4 linked regions of the Pelodiscus sinensis genome follow. The protein of the gene in region 1 interacts with the protein of each later gene in a pairwise test. Links are inferred from orthologs where the notes say so. Each region holds a gene or a part of one and is shown in the gene's direction. Other genes may lie near its edges. The genes, in order: BHLHE40, RHOBTB3, NAA50 and AANAT.

Region 1 (7,807 bases):
ATGGCATAATGAATGCTCCATTTACCAAGGAGCTTAACTGTTGCATACTGTCTTTGGTTTCCAGTAAAGCTGTCAGTACTTGATGAATGATGCTGTACTGTCTAGCTGACAACTCCCTGTTGCCTCCCTTAGCCCTTTTAAAATTTTTCTCACTGCAAAGACTGGAGCTGAGATCTGGGACCTGCCTGCATGGGAAAAGAATTGCCGCACCTACTTACTAAAGAATAAGCCTATCTTCCGCCACTCCCATGTAATGCAGACAGGACTACCTGTTAAATTAGAATTAAGCAGATCCCATATAAACCTTTTACTTCTGTAGAAAGTAATGAAGGTTTATTACATAGGACCTTACACTCAGCACTATATGCTGAGAACTAGCCACTTCCATTCCTCTCCTCTTACTCTGGATACCCTTAGCTTCCAAAAGGTTTTTGGTATTTGATGTGGCTGTTCTTTAACCTCCGGTGCCAGTAACATGAAACGAGACTGTTGGAAATGAGAGAGGGAGAGTCAGTTATTTGATTACAGCCCATGGGCACATGCCTGGCCTTCATGGGTATATTAAGTAAGAGACATTTTAAACAAAACCGCCCTCAGTAACCAAAGGTCTGAATCCACTACTGTCTGTTAACTCCCTGGATTCCCCACATATTCTTAAGAGTGTCAATGATTTGAAGAACTGTATTACTAACATCTGTAAATAACTATAAATCTCTGTTGGACACAAGTTATTATTGTTGTTATCCTATGGCATCAAATGCTCTACAACTACCATTGGAAATGCCAGATTGTCCCTTAATGGCTTTAGAAAATAATGCCATTACTTTTAACATTTCATTATAGCTTCAATCAGGCATTGTAAAAAAATCTGCCATGGAGAAATGGCTCTGCAAACAAAAATTAAAGTGACAAATTAATGATTGCATCAGCCCGTGAAAGCTGTGCCAGGCACTAGGAAAGTGTAATTTAATTCTCCCACAATCTAACTTGATGCCCAAGAATGTAATAACTTCATTTGGGACTCTCTTTCTAGGGGGGAATCCAAAATCCTTGGCAACTACCATTAAGGTCATCAGTGAAACCTGACAAGGCACATTATTTGGCAAACATACCAATAGTGAAAGAGCTAAATAATGGGGGATTACCTCTGATCCTGATTTCTAGCTCACCACCCATTCCAGGAATGTAGTGTCTCAAAGTACCTGTAAGAGTCAAACAACCAGTGGGCATGAATTTTTCCACATATATTTTTATTTTAAATCTAAAACTTAGAGGTGGTGAAAAGTATCTGCCCTTGAACCAAAATGCTAGAATTTGCCAGTAGCAATCCCCTACCATAACTCTACTTATTTCTATTGTTTAATAAAGACAAGTAAGAGAAGAATAAATGAAAGTATGTTAAAAGCTTAAAATTAAATAGCTATATCTATACATTATTTTTAAATGCCCTCACCTGTGGTACAAATAAGCTTAGAGCTTTAAACCAAAGGATTTTAATGCCTAATTTATTTTTCCACTCTTTATGCTATTTGTTTGCTTTACAAAACTCTGCTTTACCAATTAATCAGTTTCACTTTGTAATAAGTGTTAATGAATTTATTTAACAACAGCTGTAGATTAACATTAATAAAGACAATCTCTGCTTTTAAGAGCTTTCAATTTAAGGGCCTGATCCTGCAAGTGCTTATTCACGTGCTTAACTTTTTAGGCACCAGTAGTCTCTTTGAAGTCAATTGGACTACTCATATACTTAAATATATGCTTAAGTTTGCAAGATCGTGGCTGAAGGGCCCAACGCTGCAGAGACTTGAAATCAGTGAATTGATCATGACAGTGAATCCTATGCAGGCTTGGGCTATAAAACACATATGAGAGAACACTCAGTGAGAGAATAGTTAGCTTTGTTTTGTGGTTCTTGGTTGGTAGCTATACTGTACTGTTTAGGCTGCAGACACCACAGGGGAATTTTTCTTTCCTACAAGTAAGATTTTTACCAAACCTCCGCTTTGGGTCTACAATGACCTGACAGGGTTTCGTTAACTGAGTCACCTTCTAGTGTAACAAGTCTACAACTCTAAACCCCTTTAGCACTTTTGCCACCACACATGCATTTAAATGACAGTGTATCCGGAAATGAGCATGCCATCTTCTCTTACATAAATGCTGTCTCCAGTCTCTAGCAAAGTCTTTGCTGACTTCAAGATTCTAGCCACAGTGACTGTCACAGGACTCTCAGAGGAGATAGGGAAATCTTTGATAAACCTTGGCTGGTTTTGTTATTACCTTATCTAGTAAATATACCTTCTTTGGAGTGATCTGTCCTCTCCTTGTTTAGTATGCAGAGGAAATGACAACATATCCTCAAAACAACAAGCCTGCTTTTGCAGTTACACTTCACTATAATCATCCTAAGCATTTGTACAACAGCAGGCAGACAAAAGTCTTAAATGCTTGACAAAGATCAAAGAATTAAACCTCCCCAGACACCTATGAAATAGGTAAGAGTGTAATATTTCATAGCTGGTCCTAGTTCTCAGCTATTCTGCTCCTGCTCTTGGGGAATTCAGAGGCTGCACAGGGGAATCCTAGTTCCCAGTTAAAGGTTTCATGTATACATAAACATGTTGCTGCTTAAACTTAGCTGATTTCACTTTGCTGAATAAGCAATACCAGTAAGCAATGCTCCCTCTAATCTTTTCCATCAATGTGCAGAATGTGCACCTCCACTAGAAACAAAACCTACCTGTGGGCGCCCTGCGGCATTTCAATTTCTCCTGAGTGGCTGCACAATCACACAACTTAGAGCAGGGATTTTCAAACTTGGGTCACAGACCCGCCAGGGAAAGCCCCTGGTTGACCTGCAACACTTTGTTTACTCTAAAGCTCCACAGACACAGAGAGAACACTTTGACCCTAGTTTGAAAACCCCTGGCTTAGAGGGAACACTGCTGGTAAGTGCCTTATAGTGGGCCCATAATAGGCTCTTATGTCAGTAAAAGAATCATACATGCTTATGCTGATAAAAAACTTTCTCAATGTAGATCAGGCCTAAATTACGGTAGCCTCAGCCCTGAGATTGCTGTAATTATATACTCTGCTTCTCTGCCCCCTCCTTCCCCCTCACATCGCCTGTCACATTACCAGTTGTCTTAAATCAGCCACTGACTTGGACAACTGCTCCAAAGGAGCGCACCGCTGAATTCCAATTGTTGGTCACTCTGCCTTTGCCCTGGGTTCAGCTGCAATCTCCTCAGCCCAGACCATGTCTGAGTGCTACTCTGCTAATGCCAGAGTTCACACAAATCCCTGCACCCCTTAATACCAGTTATTCTCAGCGGCATTCCCAAGCCTGGGTATTTCCCTCTAACTGTAGAAATGCACATAGAAGATAATGCTGTTGGCCAAATTCTATGCTGCATTTTATCAAGCCATTAACCACTGCATTACTATAAAGTACAGACTTTAAAAAATAATTAAATTACCTGACAATAGATATGGCATGTTCTGTGTCTATTCCCACTGGAAAGCTGCTATTATTGCATAATAGCTCAGCGGTGGTAGCCAGTTTCTTTTAGTGGGTGGCAAAGTATTTGTCTGTAGTGGCATCAGGGGCCTTGTCCCAATCATTTCCCTGCTGTTTGCTGGGATTTTCAGTCAAAAGCACTCAGAAAATGCATTTTTAGCATATCAGCTTATGAATGTCTTCTCCTCGTCCTGTTTTACACCACTGAACATGGAGAATCAGCTAAATACGCTGCAGTCGGGTGCAGCCGACATGCTCTGCCTCTGCCGGTTTCCATGAACCTGGAGCACTGCCCACTCTGCTGGGAATAGTGCTAGGCACTGAGCCGCTTCAAAAGCCTTTTCCACGTACCAACTAATTCATCCAAACAACCCCTGTGAGGTAGATAAGTTAGGTTTTACTCTCCAACCTCCTATTTTACTGAGAGGGAAGCTAGAGCTCAGTAGTTAAGTGAGGTGCTTGAGGCCAAAGAAGTTGTCTTCTGACTAGGGAAGGGCATTAGGAGGGAGCATCTGGAGCGTCTGGTCTCCATAACCCCTAGACCTGCCACAACACCCTCTTCTGTGAGATCTCTGCAGTTCTACATGGGGGTCTCCCCAGCAATGTTACCTCTATTCTTTTTCCGCAGCGGGGCAGAATAAGTTTTATGAGCACTGCGGCATGTGCGGATGTGCACCACCAACAGGCACACATGCTGCCAGCGGTGGGGGCTGTGCTGCCTTTGAACCTCCCCATGGTGTGCAACCCATTTCTCAGCTTACAGGGAGCACTGGCCATCACCCAACCCTCCCCACCCCACCTCTGGACACCCCCTCTTCTGTCCCTCATGCCCTCCCCCCCCGCCACCTGTGACACCCCCGGGCGGGGACACCCAACCAGCCTGCCTCCCCGCTGCGCCACCCCAGGGTGAAGGCAGAGAAGCCAGGGCCCGCAGGTGCCACTTGCCCACGACTCCGCAGGGCCGGGGCGAAGGAGGGAGGCGCCGCGGAGGCGGGCAGGGCAGCCCGAGCCCCTTCGCTCGCTCCCCTCGCAGCCCGGCCCGGCGGAGCTGTCGCTGTCGCTGTCGCCCCATCACGTTCGGGCTGCTGCTGCCGCCGCCTGGCGTGCGCGGCGGGGCGCCGGGGAAGGCAGGCAGGCAGGCAGGGCGGGGAAGGGGGGAGGCGAGGCCGGAGCGCTGTCCGACACGTGAGGCTCATGTGATGGGGGAAGGCAGGGCTCTCCCGCCCCGGCCCAGACAGACGTGCCGGGAGTCACAGGGTAGAACACGTAGCGCCAGCCACCCACTCGCTCCCATTTAACCCAGCCTGCCGCCTGCCCGCGACTCCTCAGCTCGCGCCCCGCACCGAGATGGTCCGCGCGCCGTAGCCGCCTGCAGCCCCGCAGCCCGTCCCGACGCCCGCGGCTCTGCCACCTGCCCGCGCCCCGGGGCTCTCCGAGGACCCGTTTCGCTGCTTTCGGCCGGAATTAAGTTGCAGCAGAGCCCCCCGCTGCAATGGAAATGATCCCCAGCGCCCAGCCGCCTCCTGCCTGCCTGGGCAAGCTGCCTGCGCTGGAGAGCAACGAGATGCCCGGGTAAGATGCCTCTTCTTTGGGCCAGTGCTCCCCGCCACCTCCCGGGGCGCAGTCTGCCTGCTGGGTTTGGTTGGAACTCCTGGTCCTTCCCCCTGTGCCTGTCGGGCTCCTTGCGTTCTGCATTTGCCCCGTGTGTGTGTGTGTCTGTCTCAGTGTGTAGGGCTAATCATGCTAATTCATCGCACTTTTATGTCATCTGTGCAGGCTGGCCTTTTCTCACATGTATCAAGTTTACAAGCCCAGAAGAGGGTTAAAAAGAAGTGAAGATAATAAGGTAAATGGAGGAATTGCTGAATCTTTGCATTGTTAGTTAACACCTGTGTTCATTTGAAAAAATGAAGTTTTATGCATTAGTGTCTGTCTTTCGGGTTTTTTTTAAATCTGCTTTTTGTATAAAGCTGAACTCTTACAAAATTTGCTGAGGGATTTAGGAGGGTTGTTTTAACATTAGACAGTTTGAATCAAAGTTTTTTTTTTTTTAATGTTATGAGGCTGTTGCGCTCACACCTATTGTCCTTGAATCTGGGGCTCAGAAGATGAGAGGGGAAAATATTTATTTCAGTAGCTGTTACATACAATACTTTTGGGTACACAGAAGCTTGAGGTCTAATTTTATTTCTAGATCACCTTTTACCATGCGTCTATCCATGGTGCTAGGAAGTCATCTTGTGTCTTGTCTGATTGCTCCTTTCTTTTGGCTTCCAGGAGACCTATAAATTGCCCCACAGACTGATAGAGAAGAAGAGACGTGACAGGATTAATGAGTGCATTGCCCAACTGAAAGATCTCTTACCAGAACATCTCAAACTTACAGTAAGTGAAAATCTGGCTAATATCCAAACTCCTCTTCCTTTTGGGGATGTGCCTTGGTTAATGGATTTCTGTGCCATCTAGAGGCTTCATCTCAGCACTGCAGATCTAAGTGGAAAAGGCTATGATTTGGGCAGAGTTGCCACATGGATCTATTACAATTGGTTTTCCTTGCAGATACTGTGAATTTCTAAATAGTGTATATCTGTGGTGGTGGTGGGATGATGTGAATTAAGTTGCTGCAATATTAAAATAAATCATGAGGTAAAAGTGATTGTTGTGGGCTTGATTTGAATGTGGGGGGATTTGTTTTTTTTTTTAAATTGAGCCTCTGAAAATGTTCCTTCTTGCTCTTTTTGAAGTTTTACTGGATGCCATTTATAAGTTGATCCCTAACTTATCTGAGAGTCAAGTCCCTTTAGAGATTGCTTCCATACTTGCATTCTCTGTGTTCTTGTTCTGCAACACATTTTAAGGTCAGCCACTTCTGCTTCTGTAGTGTGTGTGTGAAAAAGAGTAAAAGCTTAAGTGCTTGATTAAAATTAAAAGAAAAAAAATCTCTTCAGAAGTTATGGGGAAAGCCATCTTGGCTGACATCCTGCAGGACACCCCTCTCCTGTCACTGTTCAAAAGAAACCCTTTGACTGGATCCCCCTGTGTTAAGGTCATGATACCAGCAGGGGCAGCAGAATAGATAAATAAAATAGTTGTTTGAGAGCTATGCAGTTGGTTCTAAAACACCCATAGGGTGTAACTGTACCCTTCACTGCAACCCTCTTTTTTATTTTTTAAGTTTACATAATATGTGGATCAGACTCCAAATGTTAACATTGTTGCTCAAGACAACAGATTTCACTGAATAAAGACACCGTTTTTAACCTTGTCCGCCAAATTGCAGCTCACTTTTTCTTATATATATCGCAAGGAATTGAAACCTTTGTAAGATTCCTTGAAACGTGACTGACTCTAAAATAAGTACTAACCTGTCCATTTGTTTCCAGACATTAGGTCATTTGGAGAAGGCTGTGGTTCTTGAGCTTACCTTGAAGCATGTGAAAGCACTAACTAATCTCATTGAGCAGCAGCAACAGAAAATAATTGCTTTACAGAATGGTTTACAAGCTGGTGAGTATTCAAGTCATGCTTGTATCATGTGAGAACCCTGGACTGTCTCATGATCTTACTTTCAACATCTTTGAAATACTGGCTACTTATGACACTTGGTTTGGGAGGTGGGAGGAGTAAGCGTTTCTTTTTTTTTCTTTAGCACGCAAACCCCCCTTTATGTACATGTGGATTTATGAAAAGATATCATTTATCCATCTAGTCAGTTAATTTATAACTAGCTGTGAAGTTGAATTTTAAAGTATATTAAATTGATTATAGCTATTTTATTTCATAGTACAGTTTTGCTGTGAGGGCTTGATCCCAAACTGATGGGAGTCATTCCATTGACTTCAATAAGGTTTGGATTAAGCCCTGATTCCTGCACCCCCCCTAAATATGAAAACATCTCTCTGACACATCCTTTTTGGTTTCTCATTAAGTTAGTTAGTACCCAGCTGAGCTGCAAAGAGTGGGCTATTTAAAGGCCCACTGTATTTTACATCTGTTTTTTCCTTCCCCTTCTTTGTGACACTGAGTCTGGCAGGATAGAACTGGTTTTTCTAAAAAGACTGCTATTGCTTGAACAGCCACTAGATATGCAGCAGAATTACACAGCCAAACCCAATATCACTTCCCAAAGTTTAGACCAACCCCGCCGCTCCCCAGGTGCATGCAATTGATTTGGGACGATTTGGGCCCTTTGTACTCAATTTTCATTAGCTGCAGATGAGCCAGATATTTCTTGCAAATCACTTTGGAACTGATGTCTTTCTGAGGTGATACCAAGGCTTATTC
Region 2 (7,978 bases), on another chromosome or scaffold:
AGTTCCTGATTGAATTTCAGTCTGAACACATCTATGCCTGATTCCCTCTGTAACCCATACAGAATTGCCTTCCTAGACCTTTCCACAACCTTCTCCCCACATTCCTCCTTTCCTCAGGAGCCACAGCAGCACAATGACAGCTGGACAAACCCACAACTCTGAAAGCCTCCCTGGAAAATGTGCTTGTGAATTTCCTGTTCCTTCTTTTTTAAAAATACTTTTCCCTCTGTGTATGAAGTTTACATAACCAATACATAAATATGTTTGCATGGGTGTGGAATAAAATTGAATTTATGAAAGTGAATGAATCTTTAAATAATTATCCAACATATGATGACTACTGCTAATGTAACTCACACACCTATTGGGTGTGTTTCACTGTCCAGTTAGTGGCCCTTAGACCACTTACAGAGCAAGAAAAATGAGTTTGCTGTACAGCCTTAGCTGAGAGCCACCTGGCTTTATAACTCAAGTACTAGAGGCTCATGCATTAAGCTCCTGATTAAGGTCCCTGGTTCAGTTTTGCCTGTTTGGGTTACACTAACATTCAGAGTCCATACCAACAGGTAGGTACATTTGAAGTGTTATAGTAGCATACACAGAAACATGCCATGAGATGAGGGAGCTTCTGGCTTGCTCAGCTCCAGCCCCTGACAACCAAGCCTGGGCAGGCTGCTCAGGTAGAAATAGCTCCATCTCACTCCCAACCTAGTTGCCCACTGAACTCTCGATTGATGTCAATGAAATGATCCAAGCGATCCACTAGCAATTGCAATATCATAGAAAACTAGCCCTTTGTGTCGATGTACTCCATCTCAAGGTGGTCTGAGGCCAAAATGGGAATTTTTGTGCCATCTATTGTCTCACCATGATTAGGGAATCCTATTGCTGCAAAGCTATCCATTATTTCATGTACAGTGTCCAAAGTTACAGTCTTTTGTCGCAGGAGACAATGACCCAGCACACTTGCATCACTGGAAACCCCATAGTGGATTTCCCCACTCGGATCTGACTCACAACTGATTAGCAGCAGTCTGGTGTCGCCAGGTTCCACACAGCGATCAGCACTCATGTCTCTACTGTTACTGCAGCTCTCATTTTGATGTTCCTGTGGTGGAGGGTTTGAGAAAACTCTGCGAACAGTTGCTGGAAGATGGCTTTGTGCATCCAGAATTTCTGCAGCTGTTGCTTGTCATCCTGTATCTTCATAACAATGTGATCCCAAAACTCGGGTGCTTGTTTTTCAAGCCCAGGACTTTTGACAGTGGCCTGTACCAGATGCTTCAGAGGGAATGGACAGAGCAGGGCAATTTTGAGTGATTCATTAAATTGTCCAGTCCCAGCTAGGGATGTGAACGACTAGTCAACTACCCGATAAGCAAATGCTTATTGGATAGTCGACACACTAGTCGACTAGTTGCTCCCCCTGCCGCTGCCTCTATCAGAAAGATGCAGCAGGGTAGGGAGGGAGAGGAAGAAGTGCTTCAAAGTGGCAGCACCACATGGAGCCCTGGACCAGACCCTGGGCTCCACATGGCACTGCTGCTTTGAAATGCCCTGTGGAGCCGAGGGCCAGCTGGTGAGTCCCCCGTTGGCCTCACGCTTCATGTGGTGCTGCTGCTTTGAAACACTGCAGGGAACACTGGGCCAGTGGGAGACAGTTGGGGGAGGAGTGCATGTCCCCCAACTGGGGGACAGACATAAAAACTCTTTGAAATATATAGTAAATACCTGTCCTTTTCTCCACCCCTAACGCCTGCTGGCCCAATGGGGTTATAGCTGGACACTACTTATCACAGGTGGCCCCTGGGTGGCGGGGCAGGGAGGCTAAGGCAGTCTCACCTCTGCCCTGGCTCTGTACCACTCTCCAAAGTAGCCAGCAAACTCCATCCTTCTCAAGCCCTGTTGTCCCCCCCACACTCCATTCTGTGGAAATAGAACACAGGGTAGGAGAGGGGGCATCCTGACATCAGCGTCCCGCCTTTATCTCCCCTGCTCTGCACAGCAAGCAGGAGGGACAACTCCAAGGCAAAGGGCAAGAGTTGCACAGGAACGGGGGAAGGGGCAGCTGAAGTGCTGTGCTTGATAGCCTCTTGGCCAAACCAGTCAGGGTCACCTGTCAAAGGCTCCAAGATCTACTACGTGACCACTGGACTACATATAAATTGCAGAGCTACAGCAGAGGTAGGTGTCATGTTACTGGATTTTAAGGAAGCAGCCAGATCACTGCAGCACCCATGGGGCAGGGGTTGTTGGCTCCAAAAGTGGTACAAAGGGGGCCATGTGAAGTGTCAAATAGAAGCATACTTTCTTCTGATTCCATATATGTTATTCATGTACTTGTATAATGTCTGTGTGTGGGTAAGGTGCAGAGTATAAATTGACCTGGGATCTGTGGCTGGTTTCTTGGAACCGGACAGAACTTGTTAAGGGAAGGAGAGATTGGTTTCTAAATCCCTCACTTATGTATGAGGCCTGGGGCCATCTGGGGCACGGATATTGCTGGGGTGTCGTAGGGGTTTTGCTTGTGAGGCTGCTGGCTGGCCAGGCAGGCAGCTGAAGTGCTCTGTGGGATTGGTTTGTGGCCTATTTGGAAAGGTCTCCAGTCTGGGGGGCTATAGAGAGCCCCGAATTTGAGCAATTTGCCCTGAGCAAATGCCCTCAGCTGTGCCCAGACCCAGCCCGGTCTGTCACAGTAGGTTCGGAACCCGGCTTGTGCCAGGTCCTGGACTGCTGTGTCTCTGCTTTTTTAAAATCTGGCTCTTACCACCTGGCTCTTACCACATTTAAAAAGGAGAAGCGCAGTGGTCTGGGACCTGGCGTAAACCATATCTGCTGAGTCCTGGCTCGCACCGGGTCCCCCACTGCGCCTCTGCCTTTTAAATGTAGTAAGAACCTAGGGCAGCAGTCTGGGAGCCAGGGGGCTCTTACTACATTTAAAAAGCAGAGCCGCAGTGAATTCCATACCACTGTGCTTCTGCCTCCCCTGCCCCGCTTCTCCCCACACCACCTTCTAAGCTGGCTCCTCCCCAGGACCAGCTCCTGCTCCCCCTCACCTCTTTGCTGCCTCTGAAACAGTGACTCGACTAGTTGCTTACATTCCTATTCTGGCCTCTTGCTACCCTCCGTGTCATTCTACAATATAATTGTCCTCTGATCAGACCCCCCCCCCCTTTCCATTTTATGAGAAACAATCAAATTCCAGGCACTTTGGCTGTGCCAATGAGTTGGCACAACCAAAACCTTACCTTGTTTTTGAGTTGTGATAAAAGAAAGCTGCCTACCAAAACTGGTGATCCTAGCTCTTACCATTTAAGAGCTCTTGAACGAACAAACCCATAGACATAGAGTCAAAATTTCCAAAATATATAGTAGATTATCTTTTCTAAATTTCCAGCAGATCCAGTTTTTTAAATCTTTCTTTGTGGGGATATTATATACCCATAATCATTTTCATTGTGCTTTTCTTCATCTTTTCTATATCTTTTCTGAGATGAGGTGACCAGAATTGCATGCAGTATTCAAGGTGTGGGCATACATTGGAGATATATGTTGACATTATACTACTTTATTTTTTATTATCTATTCCTTTTTAATGGTTCCTACGTTCTGTTTACTTTTTTGACTGACACTGCACACACTGGATTTTTTTCAGAGAAATATCCCCATGACTCCAAAAATATCTTTCTTGAATGGTAACAGCTAATTTAGATGCTATTGAATGGATAGTTGGGATTGTTTTCCAATGTGCATTACTTTGCATTTATCAATATTGCATTTTATTTGCCATTTTCTTTCTCCATCACCCAGTTTGTGAGATCCTTTTATAACTCGTCACAGTTAGCCTCGTCACAGTTAGCCTATCTGGAATAATTTTGTAGCACGCACAAATTTTCTACCTCACCATTTCCCCTTTTCCAAATCATTACTGAATATTTTGAATGGCACTGGTCCCAGTACAGATCCATAGGAATGCCACTTTTTACTTTTATTGTGAAAACTGACCATTTATTCCTACTCTTGGTTTTCTTTGTACTAGACAAAGGATTTTACCTAATATAGAAGTGTAAAGTCTGAGATTATATTTATATTTATGTTTATATTCTGTGTAACCTGGATAGTTATGCTTGCCCTCTATGTCAGTGTTTCTTAAACTATGTTCCGCAGAACACTGGTGTTCCGTGAGCAACTCACAGGTATGCTGTGACCTCTTGTTTTTGTTACTTCTTTTTGTCTTTTTTTGTCTGACAAAAATTTTTTTGTTTTGAAGAAAATTTTCATAGATGTTACACAAAAATATTGTTTTGTGTTCCATGATCTCAAAGAATTTAAGAAACAGTGCTCTATGTCATCTCTGAATTAGGTTTTTTTTTTCTCTTAACCTTTTAATTTTCTTCCAAAGCAGGTCTCTTGTGTTCAAATTGTGTGTATGGTGGGTGCTGAATTAAATTATATCTAGGGTTCTGGTTTAATGCTTCCAAGTATGACAAACCAGAGGGGAATGATCCAAGTGTCTGGTGGTAAAGAACTCATCTGAATTTTCCAAGACATTGCCTATTATGAATAAAGTGGATCAACAAAATATTATCTCCACTTGCAGAAGAGGCCATTACTAAAATATTACTGTAGTAAAATGTGTATCCTTTCCTTTCTTCCAAGGCTCCCATTGCTCCCAATCCCCCTTCTCCACTTCATTGCCCACGCACACCTGTCCCATTCTGGTTACACTATTGCACCAGCTCCCTGTTCAGCCAAGGGAGGATGGAGAGAGCAGGGCAAGTCACCAGTTGGCTCAGAGTTCCTGGCCGCCTTTACTGCAGCAGCAGCCCCTTAACGGCTGGAGCACCGAAAGCAGGCGCTTGCCAGCTGGCCCTGAGAGCAGGCTACAGGTTCCCGCTCTTTCCGCCAGAGGCCCCACCCCTTCCGGGGCGTGGAGCTACCCCCTCCCCACTTGCTCCACCGGCCGGATGAGATCCCCACGGCTGCCGGTCTCCAAAGCGCTCAGCACCTGCCCACGCGCACTGCAGTGCCGGCCTCCCCGCCAGGGGGTAATGCAGACCGGCTCCATCCTCCGGCGTCCCTCGCGTGACGCGCAGGTACGAGCTCGTCACGTGTCACATGACGCTCAGTGCTGCGCTGGCCTAGAGTTCTCTTGTCACGTGCTTCTCCGCGGCACCTTTGGCTGAAGCGCTGCTCGCCGGCCGTTGGCAGGGTCGGCCGCTGTTGCCGGACGCATCCAGGGGTACGTGACAGTTGTTTTCTACTGACGGAGAACGCTTGGCGCGAGCTCTTCTAAACGGGTTATGAGGGTCACCTTGCGCGGTGCTTGCTGGGTGTTGTAGTTTTCTTTGCGGGGTGGCCTCTGAGGCTGCTGCGGCGGCGCAGTGGGGTTTCTGTCTGTGACGTATCGGAAGAGGTATGACGGCGCGGGGGGAGGAACCCAGTGCGCGCTCCTGTGTCGTTACGATCAGTATGTTTGAAAATGTTACATTTAGAATCAGTACTAGAAATCAGGAGTGTACAATTCCCTGCCTAACAAAGCTAGCTGTGAAAGCGGAATGAGCCCTGCTCAAGTTAATGTAGTCCTGAGACTCTAATAATTAATATAAACTCTTAATTAGAAATAAAAACATGGGCTGAGCTGTAACTGGGGTGGTTGAACTGCCTGAAAGAGCTGTAAAGTTATTTGATTTATGCATAATCAGCTCGTAAAAAGTCTGGAAAGTGCCATGGGGGTATTTCTACTAGTTGCAGGGGCTGCAGGAATATTTGATGGAGAATGATTTGCTTGCCATGCATGAATGGCCATAGGAATGTCATAAGAACGTATACACATCATATATATAGTAGCCCAGTGTCTGTGAGTCTGTAACGCTGAAATGCTGACTGTTCCCTCTGGGTGGCCCGTGCTGCATGGGGAGTGCGGGGCCCAAACGGCCGCTTGCTTCCCCGTGGCGGCCTGGCTGAGTGGTGCAGATGTCAGCTGAGCGCCATGGCGGGAAAGGGAGTGAGGTGGTGACGTGCGGCATGACAGCGGCTCCAGGCCCTGCCCCCTGGCTGTGAATGTCACCGTCTTCCCCCCTTCGCCTCCCGCCGTGGCGCTCGGCTGACTTCTGTGCCACTCAGCCAGGCCGCCGCATGGGAGCAAGTGGTGCAAGAGGCTGTTTGGGCTCCACGCTCCCCATACAGCACGGGGAGTGTGGAGCCCAAAAGGCCATTTGGGCTCCACGGTCCCCCGAGTGAGAGGCAGGAGGGGGAGGAGAAGAGAGAGAGAGGGAGGCAGTAGGAGGAGAAGAAAGAGGGAGAGAGAGACGCAGTGAGAGATCAGAGGCTCAGGAAAGACAACCAACGTGGAGGAGAGACCTGAAAATCCCGTTTTATGACGGGCTAATTGGCTAGTTTTAAAAGAATATGACTCCAAGATACATCTGGAGAAGGCAGATATGAGAATTATTTATAAGGAGTAAAGAAGAAAACAACTTTCAGAAATCTCTCATGTTCTGTTATCAGCCCAGCCTCAGCCTTCCTCTTATCGGTTCTGCCAACATTCATTTCAGCCTTTTTTGTGCTGCTAAGACCAATTCCTCTGTGTTTCAGAAAACCTTTTTCAATAAAGAAGAACTTAAAGAATTGATACATATGAGAACAAAACGGGTGTGGGATGTGATGGAGCTATAGAACTGGTGCTGCACTTGTTAATTTGAAACTTCGTCCCTTCATCCATTCTTCATCTCTGTCATGTGCTAGCATGGATCTAAGGTATTGATGTGACTTACGTTAAGGAGCTAAATTGCTTTGACCCTCTTTAGAGTTTGATTCTGTCCCATTTTTGGTTACTCCTTCTCCCCCCCCTCAATTCGTCTCAGTACATATGAAGACATTTTTTTAATTTTGTTTTTCTTTTGTAGGTAAACCTTAACACTTGTATTATTTTAAATCAGTGTATGTCCCCAACTCTGACATTGTCTAAAAAGTAGTTTTAGCTCATTTGCTTTTCTTTATAGGGAGGGCTGGTTTTTGTTTGCTTTTGGAGATACTCCTATATCAGTAGTTCTTAAACTTTTGGCCTGTGGCCCAACCCACTCAGTGCAAACCTTTCTGAGGATCACCAGCCAACCAACCATGTTGACAAAATAGGTGCAGGAGGGAGTGGTGGTGTGGGTTTTGGGTGGGAAGTAGGGTGCAGGCAGGCCCGCTGATGTGGGGGAGGAGCAAAGAGGGCAATTGCCCTGGGGCCGGGCCACTCAAAAGGCACTGGAACTTCTTTGAACTGCTGCAGAAGCACAGGATGTGCCACTCCACACAGCTTTGAGGGCTGGGGGAGGAAGAAACACCACAGTCTGGGTGGCGCTAAGGTCTGACTGCCCTCAGCTCCACCTCTTTGGGGGGTGTGGATCTGGTTCCTTTCACCTTGCCCCAGGGCCCAACGTGGCTGTTGGCCCCACTGGGTGCAGGGCTAACAGTGGAAAATTGGGTGCAGAAGTGGGTAGGGGATCTGGTCGGACGTCCCATCATCTCTCGTATTGGCACGCTCACTACTGGTCTATCCAGCTATGTAGACTCTCTCCTCAAACCCTACGCAACCAACACCCCCAGCTATCTCCGAGACACTACTGACTTCCTAAGGAAACTACAAAACATCGATAACCTCCCCAATAACATCATCCTTGCCACCATGGATGTAGAAGCTCTGTACACCAATATCCCACATGAATACGGATTACAAGCAATTAGAAACACTATCCCAGAGGACACCACTGCCAACCTGATAGCAGACCTATGTAACTTTGTTCTCACCCACAATTATTTCCAGTTTGAGAACAACTTATACCTCCAGATCAGCGGCACAGCCATGGGTACACGCATGGCCCCGCAGCATGCTAATATCTTTATGGCTGACCTAGAACAACGTTTCCTCAACTCCCGTCCCCTTTTGCCCCTTCTCTACCTACGGTACATCGATGACATCTTTATGATC
Region 3 (7,775 bases), on another chromosome or scaffold:
GGAGCCTGCACTCCAGCCTTCCCTCCACCCCTCTGTGGGGCTGGAGCACACAAAATCTACTAGCTGGGGCCCCCTAGGCTCTCACACGCAAAGGAAATGTGAGAAGCATCTTTCTGTTTTGCAGTCGGGGGCCACGTCAGTGAGGGTTTGTTTTTTCTGTGGGTCAGCAGCCCCCAACCCAAAAAAGGTCTAATCCAGAGGTCTTTTCCCTATCTCTGGATAAGACCTTTAAAAAGATAATACAAAGATGCAATTAAAAAGAGTTTTAGGAAGAACAAACATTTAAACTGCAGAACATTAACCAGGAGTTAAGACTCCTGAGGACAGGATATCCCTTTTTTGTCTATATTGCAGGGTGGTTCGTCTGATGCAGTTGGTACGAGCCACTGTCAGACATGATATTAAACTAAAAGACCATTGCTCTGATACAATGTGTCAGTTCCATATGTTCTACTTAATGAAAAAAAAGCAGAAAAAAGTTTCAGGACAACTGTGTATACTATGAAAAAAATAATGCAGACATAGGCCAATTTCCTTTCCTGAGCAGGTCACTTTTAACTCCAATGCGCACACAGTGACTGATCACCTCTAAGAAAAGAGGATCAAGAAATTTTGGACCCACTGTTCCTCTAAAATACAGTAGGTGTTGACAGCTGCACCACCAGGGCAGACATCTATTCTTATTTCCTCTATCTACTCTACCCCTCAGAAGCAGTCACACTTCTCAAAACACATAGTGAGTAAGGGTGAAACATACAGGCATGACATTCCATCTCAATCCATTCTCTGTTTTTCTTGACACTGTTCCCCTCCAATGGGTCATGTGGACTTGACTATGCAGGAAGAAAAGTCAGTAATATTTTCAAGTCAAAAGAAAATTTAAGTTGTGTCGAAGGGGAAAAAATATTTTTTTGTTCTTCCTCTCTAGCAGGAGCTCATACCCACCATAGTCAAACTTGTTTTAACCGAGGGAAGACAATAGGTGGGATGCTGTATAATCTCTGTGCTACTTTAAAGATGGGACCTTTACCTTTCACTCAGAGATAATTTCTTCGGAGACTTCTGGACTTCACCTGACTTCTTGTATAACAGAGTTTATGTGGTTTTCCTTGTATTATTTCCTGCTTCAAGCCCAGTAGCTGTATTTGAACTACAGCATCTGTTAGAAACACATTTACTTTTGATAAAGAAGTCCAGTGATGGAGAATCCACCATAACCCTTGGTGAATGGTTCCATGGTTAATTACCATGTTAAAAACTGATACCTTGTTTCCCATCTGAATTAGTCTAGCTGCAACTTGGATTTTGTTATATTTCTGTCTGCTATATTCCTGTCTGTATTATCAAAATTCTGTTCCCTTTGTAGGTACATATAAATGTAATCACATTATCTTTGAACGTTCTCTTTGATAAGATAAAAAGATTGAGCTCCTTACATCATCTCACTATACAGAACATTTTCTACTATTTTGAATGTTTCTTGTGGTCTTTTTCTGAACACTCTAAAATTTATCAGCGTCTTTCTTGAATGGTTGACACCAGAACCGGACACTATTCCATCAGCAATTGTACCGGTGCCAAACAAGTAATATACTGTATTTTCCAATTTAGACAGCCAAGGATCAAGTTAGCCCAGACTAGTGTTACCTACCAGTATGACATTCAGCTAATTATGCATCATGATTGATAAAGTTTTTCCCACATAGTCAGATTCCCAAGATAGTCACTGATCCTGTAAGAATGGTCTATTCTCTTTGTTCCTACATTTATTAACTTACATTTGGCTAAATTGAAACACATTATCTTTCCCCAGCTTACTGAGTGATCTCAGTGGCATGTTCTCCATTTACTACTCCCACAATCTTTTGTCAACTGCAAATTTTAATCACTATTCATTTTTTTCCTCCAAAAGAAGTTGTCTAGCGAAGAGCTAAGAACTGATACCTTTGGATACACTTGATGGCTGTGTTTAGACTGGCAAGTTTTTCCCGCAAAAGCAGCTGTTTTTGCGGAAAAACTTGCCAGCTGTCTACACTGGCCACTTGAATTTCTGCAAGAACACTGACTTCCTACTGTCTGAAATCAGTGCTTCTTGCGGAAATACTATGCTGCTCCCATTCAGGCAAAAATCCTTTTGCAGAAAAGGGCCAGTGTAGACAGCTCAGATTTGTTTGGGGCTTTTTTGCACAAATCGCGAAAATGGCGATCGGGGCTTTTTTGCACAAAAGTGCGTCTCAATTGGCACGGATGCTTTTCCACAAAAAGTGCTTTGGCAGAAAAGCGTCCGTGCCAATCTAGACGCTCTTTTCCGCAAATGCTTTTAAACAGAAAACTTTTCCGTTAAAAGCATTTATGGAAAATCATGCCAGTCTAGACGTAGCCGATGAGTCTCAATTTACAGTTACATGCTGAGACCTATCAGGTTTTAATCCATTTCACATGTTGATTTTGTATTATCATTCACTAATCAAGATATCTTGCAGGAACAAGTCAAATGTCTTACGTAAACCTGTTATATCAACACTATGACCTTTATCAATTGTATTGTATTTTCATTATACTTTTTTCAATCAAAAATAATATCAAGTTAGCAAAGGAGCCAGATCTATTTTTGATAAATTCATGCCAACTGCCATTAGTCACCTGCCTTGAATTCTTTGTTAAAGGAGTTCTCTATCAGCCGTTCCATTATTTCATCTAGGATTGCTCTCAGGCCTATCTATGTCTGTGCAGGCAGAGGAACAGGAGGGGAATATTCAATAAAAAATAGAAAGCCTTAGACATGGGCTGTGTCTACATTAGCATCCCTTTTCCAGAAAAGGAGTGCCAATGAGACAAATCGGAATTGCAAATGCCGCGGGGGATTAAAATATCCCCCGCGGCATTTGCATGAACATGGCTGCCGCTTTTTTCCGGTTCGGGGCTTTGCCGGAGAAAAGCGCCAGTCTCGATGGGATCTTTTGGAAAATAAAGCCTTTTCCGGAAGATCCCTTATTCCTGATCCCTTCAGGATGGGATCAGGAAGGGATCAGGAATAAGGGATCTTCCGGAAAAGGCTTTATTTTCCAAAAGATCCCATCGAGACTGGCGCTTTTCTCCGGCAAAGCCCCGAACCGGAAAAAAGCGGCAGCCATGTTCATGCAAATGCCGCGGGGGATATTTTAATCCCCCGCGGCATTTGCAATTCCGACTTGTCTCATTGGCACTCCTTTTTCTGGAAAAGGGTGCCAATGTAGACAAAGCCATGGTGTAAGAGTTCTGGAAGAAGGAAGGGCTTGGCCTACACATAGAGCTCTTCAGGAACAGCTCTGCATGTGGAGATGCTTATTACAGAATGAGATGGTCTAAAGCTTATAAGGCTAAGAAAATTAGAGAGCCACTACTATGGTCATGCCAAGACAGAGTGTAGGAGGGACACTGGATAGGGAGCCATACAGTGACTCCCCCGAAGGAACTGAGTCACCCTGGTAGGGCTGTGAAAGGTTAACCGGTAAGCATCACTTTAAACGGTTATTGCTTACTGGTTCCTGTTAACTGGCAGGGATCTGCTCCAGCCCAGTGGGGTCCACCGCAGGCAGGGGCTACTCCTACCACTGGGCTGGAGTAACCCCCTGTCCATGGCAGGCTCACCCCGCCCCCCTACCACAAGTTACACACTGGCTCCTCAGAGGCAGGGCCAGTTCCCTGGGAGGAGGCTCAAAAGTTGAAGCAGAGCCAGCAAAGGCTGGGGGAGGGAGAAGAGGCTTCACTGCAGGCACTGCAATATAAAGCTTATTTAAACTTTATACTGCACAGTCCAACCACATGTAACTTGAGATTTTCAGCAATTACGTAGTTATCTATTTAACCAACTTTTTACATCCCTAGTTATCAGCTGACCTTCAATGCCAACAGCAACATCTGAACCCTTCAGTTAAGAATGGGGCTCGGACGAGCTAAGCACAAAGCGCTAGAAAGGGAAACGACAACGAGATGCGGATACTTGAGCGCGCCCCTGTCACAGGAGCAGGAGACACACAGGCCATGTGGCGCTAGACTGAAGAGACTCGAGAGGCCTTTCACGTTCGCTCTTCCCCATTCCGGAAATGAAAGGCCGAAACTGCGGGGCCGGGTCCTTCCCGAGGGACCCTCAGTCGTAGAAACCGCGCGGGGTCAGCCTGCGCCGCGGGCCTGTCGCGCTCATTGGCGCTACTTGCGCCCCCCCCCCCCCATGGATCCGCTGCCGCCTCCAGCCCCACGTTCTGCCTGGCGGCGCTTCGGCTTCCCAGGCTCGGCCCCCCCCGCAGCCGTCGCTGCGCGGCCCCTTCGCCCCACAACCCCGCTACCGGCCCGGCAGCCCCCGCGCCACCCGCCCGGCTCGAGGCTTCCCGCCTCTGCTGGGGGGTGGGGAGGGGGGGGGGCCTCACCTGGGCGGGCGGGGGCAGCTGAACCACTTCGCTCCGCCGCTTCTCTTCAATAGCAGGCGACAGCGATCAGCTGATCAGTCGCTCCCAGGGCGCATGCGCCGCGTCACGAGTGTTATCCCTCCTCCCCCGGAAATGAGGGGCTCGGGAGCCCGGCTAGCTTTGAATGCTTTTTTTTTTTTTTTGGAATGACGGGTCATAGATGCGGAGGCAGGCGATTGGCCTCCCTCGGCCCACGTGACAGGCTAAGGCTCTTCCCGCGGAGCGACTCGGGAAGAGGTCACGTGGGCGGTGCCGCGCAGCGCTGGTCCAGTCACGCCGCCGCCAGGCGCCGAGGGGGGGGGGAGGAGGACGTGAGGTGAGGGGGGGTCACGTCGGCGGGCGGGGCGGAGCGCGGCGCGCGGGCGGCCCGAGGCCCATGTGCAGGGGGAGCTGCCGCAGCACGAACCGCCAGCGCCGAGGAGGAGGAGGCCGGAGCCGCATCGCCGGCCCCGCACGCACCGAGCGCGGATCCCGGCCCCGCCAGGCCGCACCATGAAGGGGTGAGTGCGGCTCCCGCCCGGCCTCGCTGTGACAGCGGCCTCCCCGGCCGGCGCGCCTCGGCCCGCTGTGCCCTGCCGCGGAGCCCGGCCCGGGCCCGGAGTGTGCGCGAGCGAGCGAGCGGCCCGGGCAGTGGTGGCGCGATTCTCCCGCGCAGCTGCGCAAACGCCGAGACGTTAATCCCAGTGCAACCGCCCTCACGCGCCGGGACCTGCCACTCTCCGCCCAGCGCCCGCGTGGGGCGCCCCACGCAGCCGCCTCCCCTTCTCCCGCCGCTCCGAGCCCGGCCCGCGGGCTGCTGAATTGTGGCTTGTCCTGGGGAGAGCGCGTGTGTGCAGCCGGCCGGAGGAGATGAAGCTGTTGGTTTTCAGCTGGGGTGTAGCGTTACACTGTGTGTGTCTGCGAAACGCTGACCCTGAACTGCAGGAAGCTCGGCACCTTGCTCTTGGAAGGAACCTCCTCTTCTCCCCTCCCCCCCCCCATGCCAAAAACAACTCTTCTGGTCCTTGTCTCACTTTATCTGCTTTATTGCAGAAATAGTAGGTGGAAAGAGCTGGTTCATTCCACTCTGCTTTTGAGAAATGTAGCTTATCGTCTTGTGTAGAGGTCTTTTCTGTGAAACTATCTTGAAAAAATCGTATGCAAGTGAATTAACTTTAGCATTCAATTTCTTTAGCCCCTATTCATAATAATAATAATGATGATGAAGATAGAAGCAGGGTCATCAAATTGGTATCTGGGAAGTCACTCAGAGAAGTCCCCAATGGAACAACAATGGAAATAATATTTTGTCTTAAAATGCTGCCTGGCCTTGACCAGCTTTGTGTGACTGCTTTGTAGGGAAGATTGAAAAGATGGTGTAATTTCCACGAGTATTTGCTTTTGATGTAGCCTTTAAAATTTATTTAGAACTTGTTGTGATTGCAGGATGTGGATGGAACAAAAAGCTAGTCTTCGCACCTAACAATGATTTTGCAGTGTTATCTGTTTAGGACCTCCCTTTCTGGTTCTCTTATGAAAATGTGGCATAGAGGTTTTAAATGTAGTAAATGAAATACTGGTTCTACTGCTATACAGAGGTAACATGGTCTAGCTTTCTGAACACAGGGCTGGAAGTCATGAGACCTGGATTTGGTTCCCAGCTCTGTTGACCTCTTATGTGACTTTGTGCAAGTCATCTCACCTCTGTGTGTTAGTTTCTCCCCCATGAAATAAGAGGGCTCCAGAAGTGGTGTTGCAAATCATTACTGTTTGGAAAGTGTTATGTAAGTGACAGATATTACTATTCCAGTTTGGCTGCTTAAGGCAGGGTAAAATGGTAGTTGAAGTACTTAGAGTTTTTAGCCCTTTACCATTTGTTATTAACTTTTTGGGGTAAGGTCACATACACCAAGTTTTTATCAAGCAACCTAGGTATCTTATTTCTCATGTCTAGTTTCAGACACCTTAAATGGTTTTTGGGACTGAGAGAGTAAAGCTGAGAGATTGAAAAAACAGGTCCCGAAACTTAACACACTTCAGGTACAAATGTGCAATTATTTTATGGAAATATGTATGAATAAAATATTGCCCAATAGAAATGATGGATTCCTGGCCCTATAGAAATGACAGATTCCTATTTCTTTTCCCATGTTCTTGGGAGCTAGTCAAAGTTGCTTTATTTGGCATAGGCAAGTATGTGGGAAGGGCGATAAGCTTGATCAGCAAAGGTGAGCCCACAGTTGGCAAAATCATTGTCAGCTACTTTGTTGGTGGAACTAGAATTTTGTCTCTTCTCTCTCTCTCACAGATTTGTATAGCTTGGCTTTTCTCTGATTCTTTTCTTTTCTCTGTTGATTGTGAATCAGGCAGAGCTGTTGTTTGGGCTTGGATATTTTATATGTATGTCTGTGTGCATCCGGGCAGAGCACACTGGGATCTCTTGGCAGGATATAGTTATAAGCAGTACTCCATGAGTGTGCCATGCTGCACCATCTCTCTACTGGAGCTTTGCCATTTTCTCTGTACTCTTGCTTTTTCAGTGGTTTCTGAGTTTGGGGATTCTGTTACAAGTAGAACATCCCACTACTGCTCCCTCATAGAGATTTAATAGTGAATTTTATGTCAATCCTACTCCCGTTTAGAGTACAGGCAGTCCCCGGGTTACATACAAGATAGGGACTGTAGGTTTGTTCTTAAGTTGAATCTGTATGTAAGTCGGAACTGGCATCCAGATTCAGCCGCTGCTGAAACTGATCAGTTTCAACAGCGGCTGAATCTGGACGCCAGTTCCAACTTACATACAGATTCAACTTAAGAACCCCAGGCGTCCCCAAGTCAGCTGCTGCTGAAACTGATCAGCAGCTGATTCCAGGAAGCCCGGGGCAGAGCAACTCTGCCTCGGGCTTCCTGTAGTCAGCCGCTGGTCAGTTTCAGCAGCGGCTAACTTGGGGATGCCTGGGGCAGAGCAGCACCCCATCTGCTCTGCCCCAGGCGTCCTGATTCAGCCGCTGCTGAAGCTGATCAGCAGCGGCTGAATCAGGACTCCTGGGGCAGAGCAGCTGGGGTGCTGCCGGGTTGGTCCAGTAGCGCCAAGGAGCGGTGCTGCGGGACCAACCGGCAGCGCCCCACCTGCTCTACCACAGGCACCGGGCTTTGCTCCACGTCTCCCTGGTCTGCTGGGGGGGGGGGGCACTAGCTGTGTCCCCCCCCAGCAGACCAGGGAGACGCGGAGCAAAGCGGCGGAGGACCCAGGCCGGACTGTGGCGCTTCCAGATCTGCAGACCAGGGAGACGCTGAGCAAAGCGGCGGAAGACCTGGGCCGGACCTGCGGCGCTTGCAGATCAGCGCCGC
Region 4 (7,074 bases), on another chromosome or scaffold:
TTTAGGGGAGCTGCTCCAGTTTGCACCAGCAGAGAACACGACCTGGACTTTCTACAATATTACTTTGTGTGTTAGTCCTCCAGGTCAAATTAATGGTGTACAAAGCCTAGGGCTCTCTCTACAAAGCTGCTCATGGGAGCCAGTCGTGCGTGCGCATGTGTGTTAGTTTCAGCAAGGTGGCATTTCACAGAAGTTGTTTACAATGAACTCTGATAGCAGTGGGAGCCTGCTATCAATGGGCAGCCTTATTATGAATAACATAATAAGGAAACAATGAAAAGCCAGTTTATGTTCACCATGATTTTGTTCCTCATTCCTCTTGCTGAGTGACTTATATTGACATCCTCTGTACCATAAGAAATGCTCTTATGCCATCTTGTGGCCATTCAATGGAAATTAGCAGCTTACTATAATTATTTACAATGACCACCTACAGCAGGAGGGCTACTAAACACGAGGCCCGCACAAGGCCGGTGAGCTGAGCCTGTATGGGCTTATGCGGGGCTCAACATGCAGCCCGCCAGATGGATCCTTTGAACATGGCCTCCATTGGGAACATGCTCCACAATGGTGAGTCAATATAATGGTCTTCTGTTGATATGCATTTTAGTAGTCACATTCCTGGACTCTCATTGCTCATTAAAAGTACTGCCATATAGGTGGAAATCAGGTAAATATTGCATTTTATTAATATCAGCAGAACTGACTTAAATAGGGCCTACGTGTTGTGTAGTCGTGCCTTAATCTTTGTATTCATGCCCATCAGTGTGAAAAGCTATTTGCATATATTTACGCATATATTTGCATGTATATGCAACCACACTTAAGTTGTGGCCCTTGGCATGTGCTGTGAGTGTCATTGTGGCCCCTGGGGCTTCCAAAGTTTAGTAGCCCTGACCTACAGCCAGGGTGTCCATCAGTTCTGAAGCAGTAGCCACTATGTGCTGGTCTACAAGCAGTGGAATGTCTCCGCTACCAGGCCTGTTATTTCAAAATAAGAGTCTGGTTATTTCAAAATAACTCCTGCTTTCCACAAGGAATAATGCTAATTTCAAAATAGTTATTTCAAAATAGCATCAGTATGGAGGCTCCAGTGCCTCTATTTCAAAATAACTGCTCCCCAGAGTCATTCAGACTAACAACTCCCCAGTGCTTCCTGGAGCCCTAAGTTTAGGTAGTGCATCCACATTAACAGAGCCTGTCTCAGGCTGATTTCAAGGCTTCCCTTAGTGTGGACATGCTATTTTGAAATTATTATTTAGGGAGTTATTTCCCAGTGTAGACATGCCCTATAGTGGCTACTGCAATAGCAAACTAGCCCCACTCAGCCAGCCAAATAGCCACATGTGGCTAGTGTCTAGCATGTTGGACACCATGTACATATAGCAATATGGGAAAACATGGGAGGGTAAATGGCTATCAGAGATAACAGGTCACATTATTTGTCTGGATGTTCCAATGACTGCATTTTAAGGGAATGTCAGAGGACAGGGATCCCCACTTACAGTAAGGATGACAGGTATTTAACTTCAAATTGGCACTTCTGAGGGAGCATCACTCTCAGAATTGGGATGACACATTTTAAAGGGTGGATGCTTTCAGTAAGTGGTTCAATATTCACTGATTTCTTAGGAGCAGAGAGAGACCCAGACACGAATGGAAAGCTCTTTGGTGCAAGGACTCTGTTATATTCCGTGTCTGTAGAGCACTGTGCATGCACTGGGCCCAAACTGTCTTCCCAGTGCCAACCTAAGTAGCTAGGCTGCAGTGACCCACCCTGCTGCTACTCTGGACATGACAAGAGTCCCACTCGAGGCTGCTGAGTAGGGGCAGAGCTGCTCTGAAGCCCTACTTCATCCTAATGTTTGGAGAAGTCTCCACCATTGGGGAAGAACTGGAGACTTGCTGTGGCACTGGGACCTTGCTTGGATCCTGCACTCTGTGGCATGCACCACCTGCTGGTGCCTTTTGACCCAACTCTGCCTGCAAAGCTGATTTAGGCCTACATAAGCCTCTCCACTCCTCTGTCACTGACAGCTTCACAATCATCACAGCTCACACCCATTGGCTTAGCAGGAGCTAACAACTCTAGTTCAAACCTGTCACCAAATAGAGAAATACTACGAGGGAAGCAGAACTACACACTATGTTAGGAAGCTTTTGAACGCTATGGCTATGTCTAGACTGCAGGCTTCTTTCGGAAGAAGCTTTTCTGGAAGAGATCTTGCATCTGACAAAGTGGGTCTTTGCCCACAAAAGCTTATGCTCCAATACATGTTAGTCTATAAGGGGCCACAGGACTCCTTGTCACTTCTGAAAGAGAGTATCTACATAGCAAAAGCGCATCAAAAAAGCGATCTGCTTTTTCAAAAGATAGCGTCCACACTGAATGGATGCTAGCTCACATTTCTTGATTACTACGGATGGAGTGGTCATCAGGGCGCCTGCGCTTTTTCCTCTTTCAAAAGAACTCCCTTTTCCCTGTCCACACGTGCTCTTTTGGAAAAAGGCTTCTTCCTCATAGAAAGAGGTTTGCCAACGGTGGAAAAACCCCTCTGCTCTTTCGACTTTTTCCCCAAAAGAACGTGATTGCAGTGTGGATGTAAGTGACTTTTTTTTCCTGGAAAAACAGTTGTTTTTCCAAAAAAACCTCTGCAGTGTAGACATACCCTATATTATGTATGGAAACCACTAGTGGCAGGCTCAGCAGAATGGTGCAAGACTGAGTGACCAATGGAAGAGATTTCCCCTTTGACTCTTAGAGCTGCCCTTGCAGATCAGGGCTGATGGTCCTGACAGCCTTGGTTGAGGCCTTTACTTCACTACTCAGGCTTTGCTTATTTCAGAGACTCAGACTGACAGCCCTCCAGCCAGATACTGCCTACCAGCCTGTTGACTCAGTCTCCCTACTTGGGTATTTCTTCATGTATGTCAAGGGAGAGATTTAAACACCCTCCCTTTTTGTTCCTGGTGAAAGTTTGTAAAACAAACCCCTGAATTGGAAGCATGATGGATAGTCACTAAGCTTAATCCTGCAGGTGAATTTGTCTTCCCCACTAGGTGGTGCTCTGTACCAGTGCGTCTGCCTCCTTACAGAGTCTAGTGCACTCAAAGTAGTAAGTGCATGGACCCCAGACCCTTTTTGCTGGTGACCTGCTGTGCTTATATTGGAAGCAGAATGATGCAGCAACAATTAGAGCCAAGTCCATGTCCCAAAGCTCAGACCGAAATGTAGTTTGTCCTAAAGGTGTGGGGCTCAGATTCAAATGTTTGGTGTAGGGCCCACCCAAGGGCTCCTCTGCAGCCATCCCTCTCCTCCTGCACTAGCTGGATTATACCTTGAGATCACTGGACTTAGTTCAGCTACTGGGACCCAAGAGAAAAAGCAAATGAGGCTAATTGCTCAGCGCTTGGGGAGAGGAGAACAGAGACACTCACTTCACTTCACTTCACTGGAGTCCTGCATAGAATGATATGTGAACTGGATATTGGTGTATATTGAAACTTCATCTCTTGCTTCGTTAGCCCCCTGTGTTCCCTCTGATTCATCAGTACCCCCATTTAACTGGCCCTAAGTCAGAAGAGAGGCCAGAGGTGCTGAGAGCCATTGAACCAAACTGTAAACAAACATCTTAAAACCAAACTTTGAAGGCCCAGAACTGAGCCTCCTCACCCATATTAATGGAGACAGACTGATAACTGTATCTGGCTTCTTCCCAAGGCTGATCTTCAGCTGTGCCCTGCACAATGTGTGGAGTGCATATCTCCCCCTTTCTGCCCACAGAAAAGCAGTGTTTGGAAAGAGCAGGGAAATCCAGCTAGGCAAGTGGGACTCCAAAGACATGGGTCCATGAAATTGTGACTTTCCTGCATGTGGCTGCCTCAGGCTGTGCTGCCAAGAAGAAAGCAGTGAGGTGCAGGGGCAACTTCTCCAACTACTAAGCGGTAAGACGGTGGAATCTCTAAGCCCTGCTGTGACATTACTGTGGTAACAAGCAATCAAATGATATTGGCTGCCCCATGCTGTGCTCTGTAGAAACGGATATTAGAAGTCTGGAGGAGAGTTAGAAAAGCAATCATTGGGGCAAATTCTCACTGGCATAAACTGTCACAGGATCACTGACATCAGAGATGCTGCACTAGTTCACACCAGCAGATAATTTAGCTCACTGAGCTTTATTTGGTGATAAGTTCAATTTCATAAGCAGGCAAGCTGGAGCAGTCTGGTTCATTCTAATTACACTCCACATCTGCACAGGTTATAAAGTAAAAATGCACCAAGGAAATGAAACTCAAAGTAGAAACATTACATCATCAGAACCTCTCTCACTGGCCAAACTGCCCTGTAAAGGCAAGATACTCTTCCACCACAAATCTTAAAAGCTGCTTAAATCCTCATGGGTCTCAATCATAATGCATTACAGCAGGGGAGGGAAGAAAGTTGCACAGATCATTATGACAGCCAAGACTCCTTGGAGCGGGTGGTTGAATTTATAGGTCAGTTAATTGCAAAGTGATGAGAATGAGGGATGTAATTCTTTCCTTCTCCCCCGCCACCCCAAAAAAACAAATCATAAGCTACCAGCTGGCTACGTAGCTTGACAAATGGACAATAAAGGATGGTTGCAGACAGATGCAGAAGTGCCAGCTCTGAGCCCTTTGAAGATGCTGTGGGCGCTGCTAAATATGTAAATATCTGTAATTTGCCAGTGCTCTGATGCTGAGGTTTTGACCCCTCCACAGCTGGCAGACAGTGACAAGGAGAAATGCCCTGTTCAGTTTAGCTGTAATGGGGACAGGCTGGTTATTGTTAGTGCTATTTGCTGAAAGGTTTATTTTTTATTGGGTGAGTGTTTGTTGCATTGTACTTCTGTTTGGATTAATACTGAAAAGAAAACCAGGACTTAGCCTTAGGGTAACTGAGTGAGACTTGGAAGTTGGGCACATCCTGACCTCTTCCAGATTTACTTTAACCGCATAAAGAGCCAAGTTCTGCTCTTTGTTATTCCCATTTTACATCAGTGTTACACTAGTGACTTTAATGAAGTCACTTCACTTTTACATCACTAATTCCAAACAGGATCTGGCCCATAAAGTCATTGCTGATAACAAAGGAAGGTACCAGCAAGGTTATCTTGTGTCTGAAATATTTGCTACCATCTTGTATTTGCCTCAGCTAGGGCAAAATCCTGATGGCTTTACTCAGCCATAAAATCTCACTGCAGCCTGGCTCCTTAAATCGTAAGACCCTCAGAGCAGAAACTTTCGGTCAGATTCTGATTTTTCCTTAAGGGTAACTCTATAGACCTCACTGGAGTTACTCCAGATTGACACCAGCATAAACGGGAGCCACCTCCAGCCATTTATCTCTGAGTTTAGTAAAGCACCTTGTAGACTGCTGCTGCTGCGTACGCAGTTTTAGTGTGAAAACAGCCCTCCTGCCTCAACTGGTAGTAATTTCCTGATGCATGTCTGTTCGCAGTCCAAGCTCAACAGCATGTTCATGGTTCTGCTTTCCTAGGGCTGCCCCAAATTCTGATCCCTCGTGCTGGTTTTACACCAGGCTGACTGCAATGGCTTCAGTGGTGTTATCTTTTCACGTAAGCAAGAAGAAACACAGACTCCTTATATTTCATTTTGCAAGTCCCATGAGTCCATTTCTTGCTTTGCTAGGGATTAGCAATGTAAGTCATTCCACAACATATTTACCTACAGACAAAACCCATCAATTGACTGGAAAGCTAAAAGCTCTGCTGAGAATACTTATTAAACCCACGGGGTCAATTGCAGCTCCAATTTGTGATGCAAGTGGGTGCAGCTGCACCAAAAGCAATGACATTACAGCTGCTTTCACCATGCTGGATTTTAGCTCATTGAAGGGTCTTATGCAACCCCTATTCTCTGTCTGTCAGGGTTGAGAATGACAACCAGGGATGGCTCATTTGATGATTCTCTGTTCTATTCATTCCCTCTGAAGCACCAGGCATTGGCCAGTCAGAAGACAGGCTATTGGGCTAGACGGACCTTTGGTCTGACCCAGTCTGGCCATTCTTATGACTTCAAATGGATCTAGATCTGACCCTCCTTGCATTATATAGTGATGTGTTATTTCATGTTTTCTAGCTCTTCACCTAGTTATTGGGTCTAGCTACTTGGCCACCTGAGTTGTGCAAGCAACTCTGAGTATCTAGCAATCAGCTAAAATGCTTTATCCCCCTGCAGACACTCAAGCCAGGAAAGAAAAGCCTCATCGGATGCTTTTGCTGGCATGTCACCTTAAAGCCTCTCACCTCTCTCTGTGACTCAGCAGGGTTTATAAACGTCTTACTATTTTATCACGTGCTCTGTACATAACAAATATATAAGCAAGAGCTTCGTAAATCACAGCAAAGTAAAAGCAGTAGGTAGGTCAAAACTCACTGCTGCCTGTTTTCTCCTCTGGCGGTAAGACTGCAAGACCAGACCACGCCATCTAGAGGAACAACTCTGGCATTCTTACAAGAAACCCTGTTTCATACACGCACACAGGTAATTAATTGTCTGCAACTTTACTGAAATGTGTGGTACTGATTTTCTAGAGTGGAAAGCAGCCTGTAAAGAGGCCATTCTGTTCTCCATAGAATTGCATTTGGTGCGCTGTCTTGTAGTGCAAGGAGCTTTGTTACATTAAAATGTGTATGCATAGACATTGATTAGAATGTGGATCCCATGGTATTCCCCCAGCCCCTGCATCCATCCCAAATCTGAGCGGGTGGAGTCTTGGCGCTGAAAACCCCACATTTTGGAATAGACAGCGCTTTGCTGCAAGAAGAATTTTCAGACCTAAACTTATGGTTTGTGATGCAAACAAACCCTCATTGTTTCCACACGACCTGAGCATTCAAAGACCAATCAAAATAGATTTACATACTAGACTGGAAAGAACATTGGTTTCAGTTGCCTGTCAGTGTGTGCTTGAGCAGATGAGCACATACATCTCCATGGTTTGTATGAATGTTTAGATTCCTTCGGCACATGAATGTGAGGGATCTAATATTTGCATGTTCAATCTTGGGCAAGTCACTTCATTGCCGC

The links.
Region 2: the proteins of BHLHE40 (region 1) and RHOBTB3 interact in binary tests that used the Homo sapiens proteins (3 or more experiments, as listed by UniProt). The two-hybrid records come from large-scale screens. The link is inferred for Pelodiscus sinensis from reciprocal best matches to the Homo sapiens genes BHLHE40 and RHOBTB3.
Region 3: the proteins of BHLHE40 (region 1) and NAA50 interact in binary tests that used the Homo sapiens proteins (3 or more experiments, as listed by UniProt). The two-hybrid records come from large-scale screens. The link is inferred for Pelodiscus sinensis from reciprocal best matches to the Homo sapiens genes BHLHE40 and NAA50.
Region 4: the proteins of BHLHE40 (region 1) and AANAT interact in binary tests that used the Homo sapiens proteins (3 or more experiments, as listed by UniProt). The two-hybrid records come from large-scale screens. The link is inferred for Pelodiscus sinensis from reciprocal best matches to the Homo sapiens genes BHLHE40 and AANAT.

What each region holds. Positions count from the first base shown.
Region 1 is NC_134721.1:16,269,824-16,277,630, forward strand, and holds the start of BHLHE40 (class E basic helix-loop-helix protein 40), read left to right. Parts: upstream 1-4,806; 5' UTR 4,807-5,015; coding exon 5,016-5,095; intron 5,096-5,299; coding exon 5,300-5,369; intron 5,370-5,800; coding exon 5,801-5,908; intron 5,909-6,906; coding exon 6,907-7,030; intron 7,031-7,807. UniProt on the Homo sapiens protein: Transcriptional repressor involved in the regulation of the circadian rhythm by negatively regulating the activity of the clock genes and clock-controlled genes.
Region 2 is NC_134716.1:71,203,527-71,211,504, reverse strand, and holds the start of RHOBTB3 (rho-related BTB domain-containing protein 3), read left to right. Parts: upstream 1-4,961; 5' UTR 4,962-4,967; coding exon of another isoform or gene 4,968-5,096; intron 5,097-5,103; exon of another isoform or gene 5,104-5,242; intron 5,243-5,448; exon of another isoform or gene 5,449-5,470; intron 5,471-6,618; exon of another isoform or gene 6,619-6,748; coding exon of another isoform or gene 6,749-6,759; intron 6,760-7,978. Other genes in the region: RFESD (Rieske domain-containing protein), read left to right, coding at 4,968-5,096. UniProt on the Homo sapiens protein: Rab9-regulated ATPase required for endosome to Golgi transport. Involved in transport vesicle docking at the Golgi complex, possibly by participating in release M6PRBP1/TIP47 from vesicles to permit their efficient docking and fusion at the Golgi.
Region 3 is NC_134711.1:141,203,733-141,211,507, forward strand, and holds the start of NAA50 (N-alpha-acetyltransferase 50), read left to right. Parts: upstream 1-4,774; 5' UTR 4,775-4,937; coding exon 4,938-4,945; intron 4,946-7,775. UniProt on the Homo sapiens protein: N-alpha-acetyltransferase that acetylates the N-terminus of proteins that retain their initiating methionine. Has a broad substrate specificity: able to acetylate the initiator methionine of most peptides, except for those with a proline in second position.
Region 4 is NC_134730.1:10,216,745-10,223,818, reverse strand, and holds the start of AANAT (serotonin N-acetyltransferase), read left to right. Parts: upstream 1-4,067; 5' UTR 4,068-6,528; intron 6,529-7,074. UniProt on the Homo sapiens protein: Controls the night/day rhythm of melatonin production in the pineal gland. Catalyzes the N-acetylation of serotonin into N-acetylserotonin, the penultimate step in the synthesis of melatonin.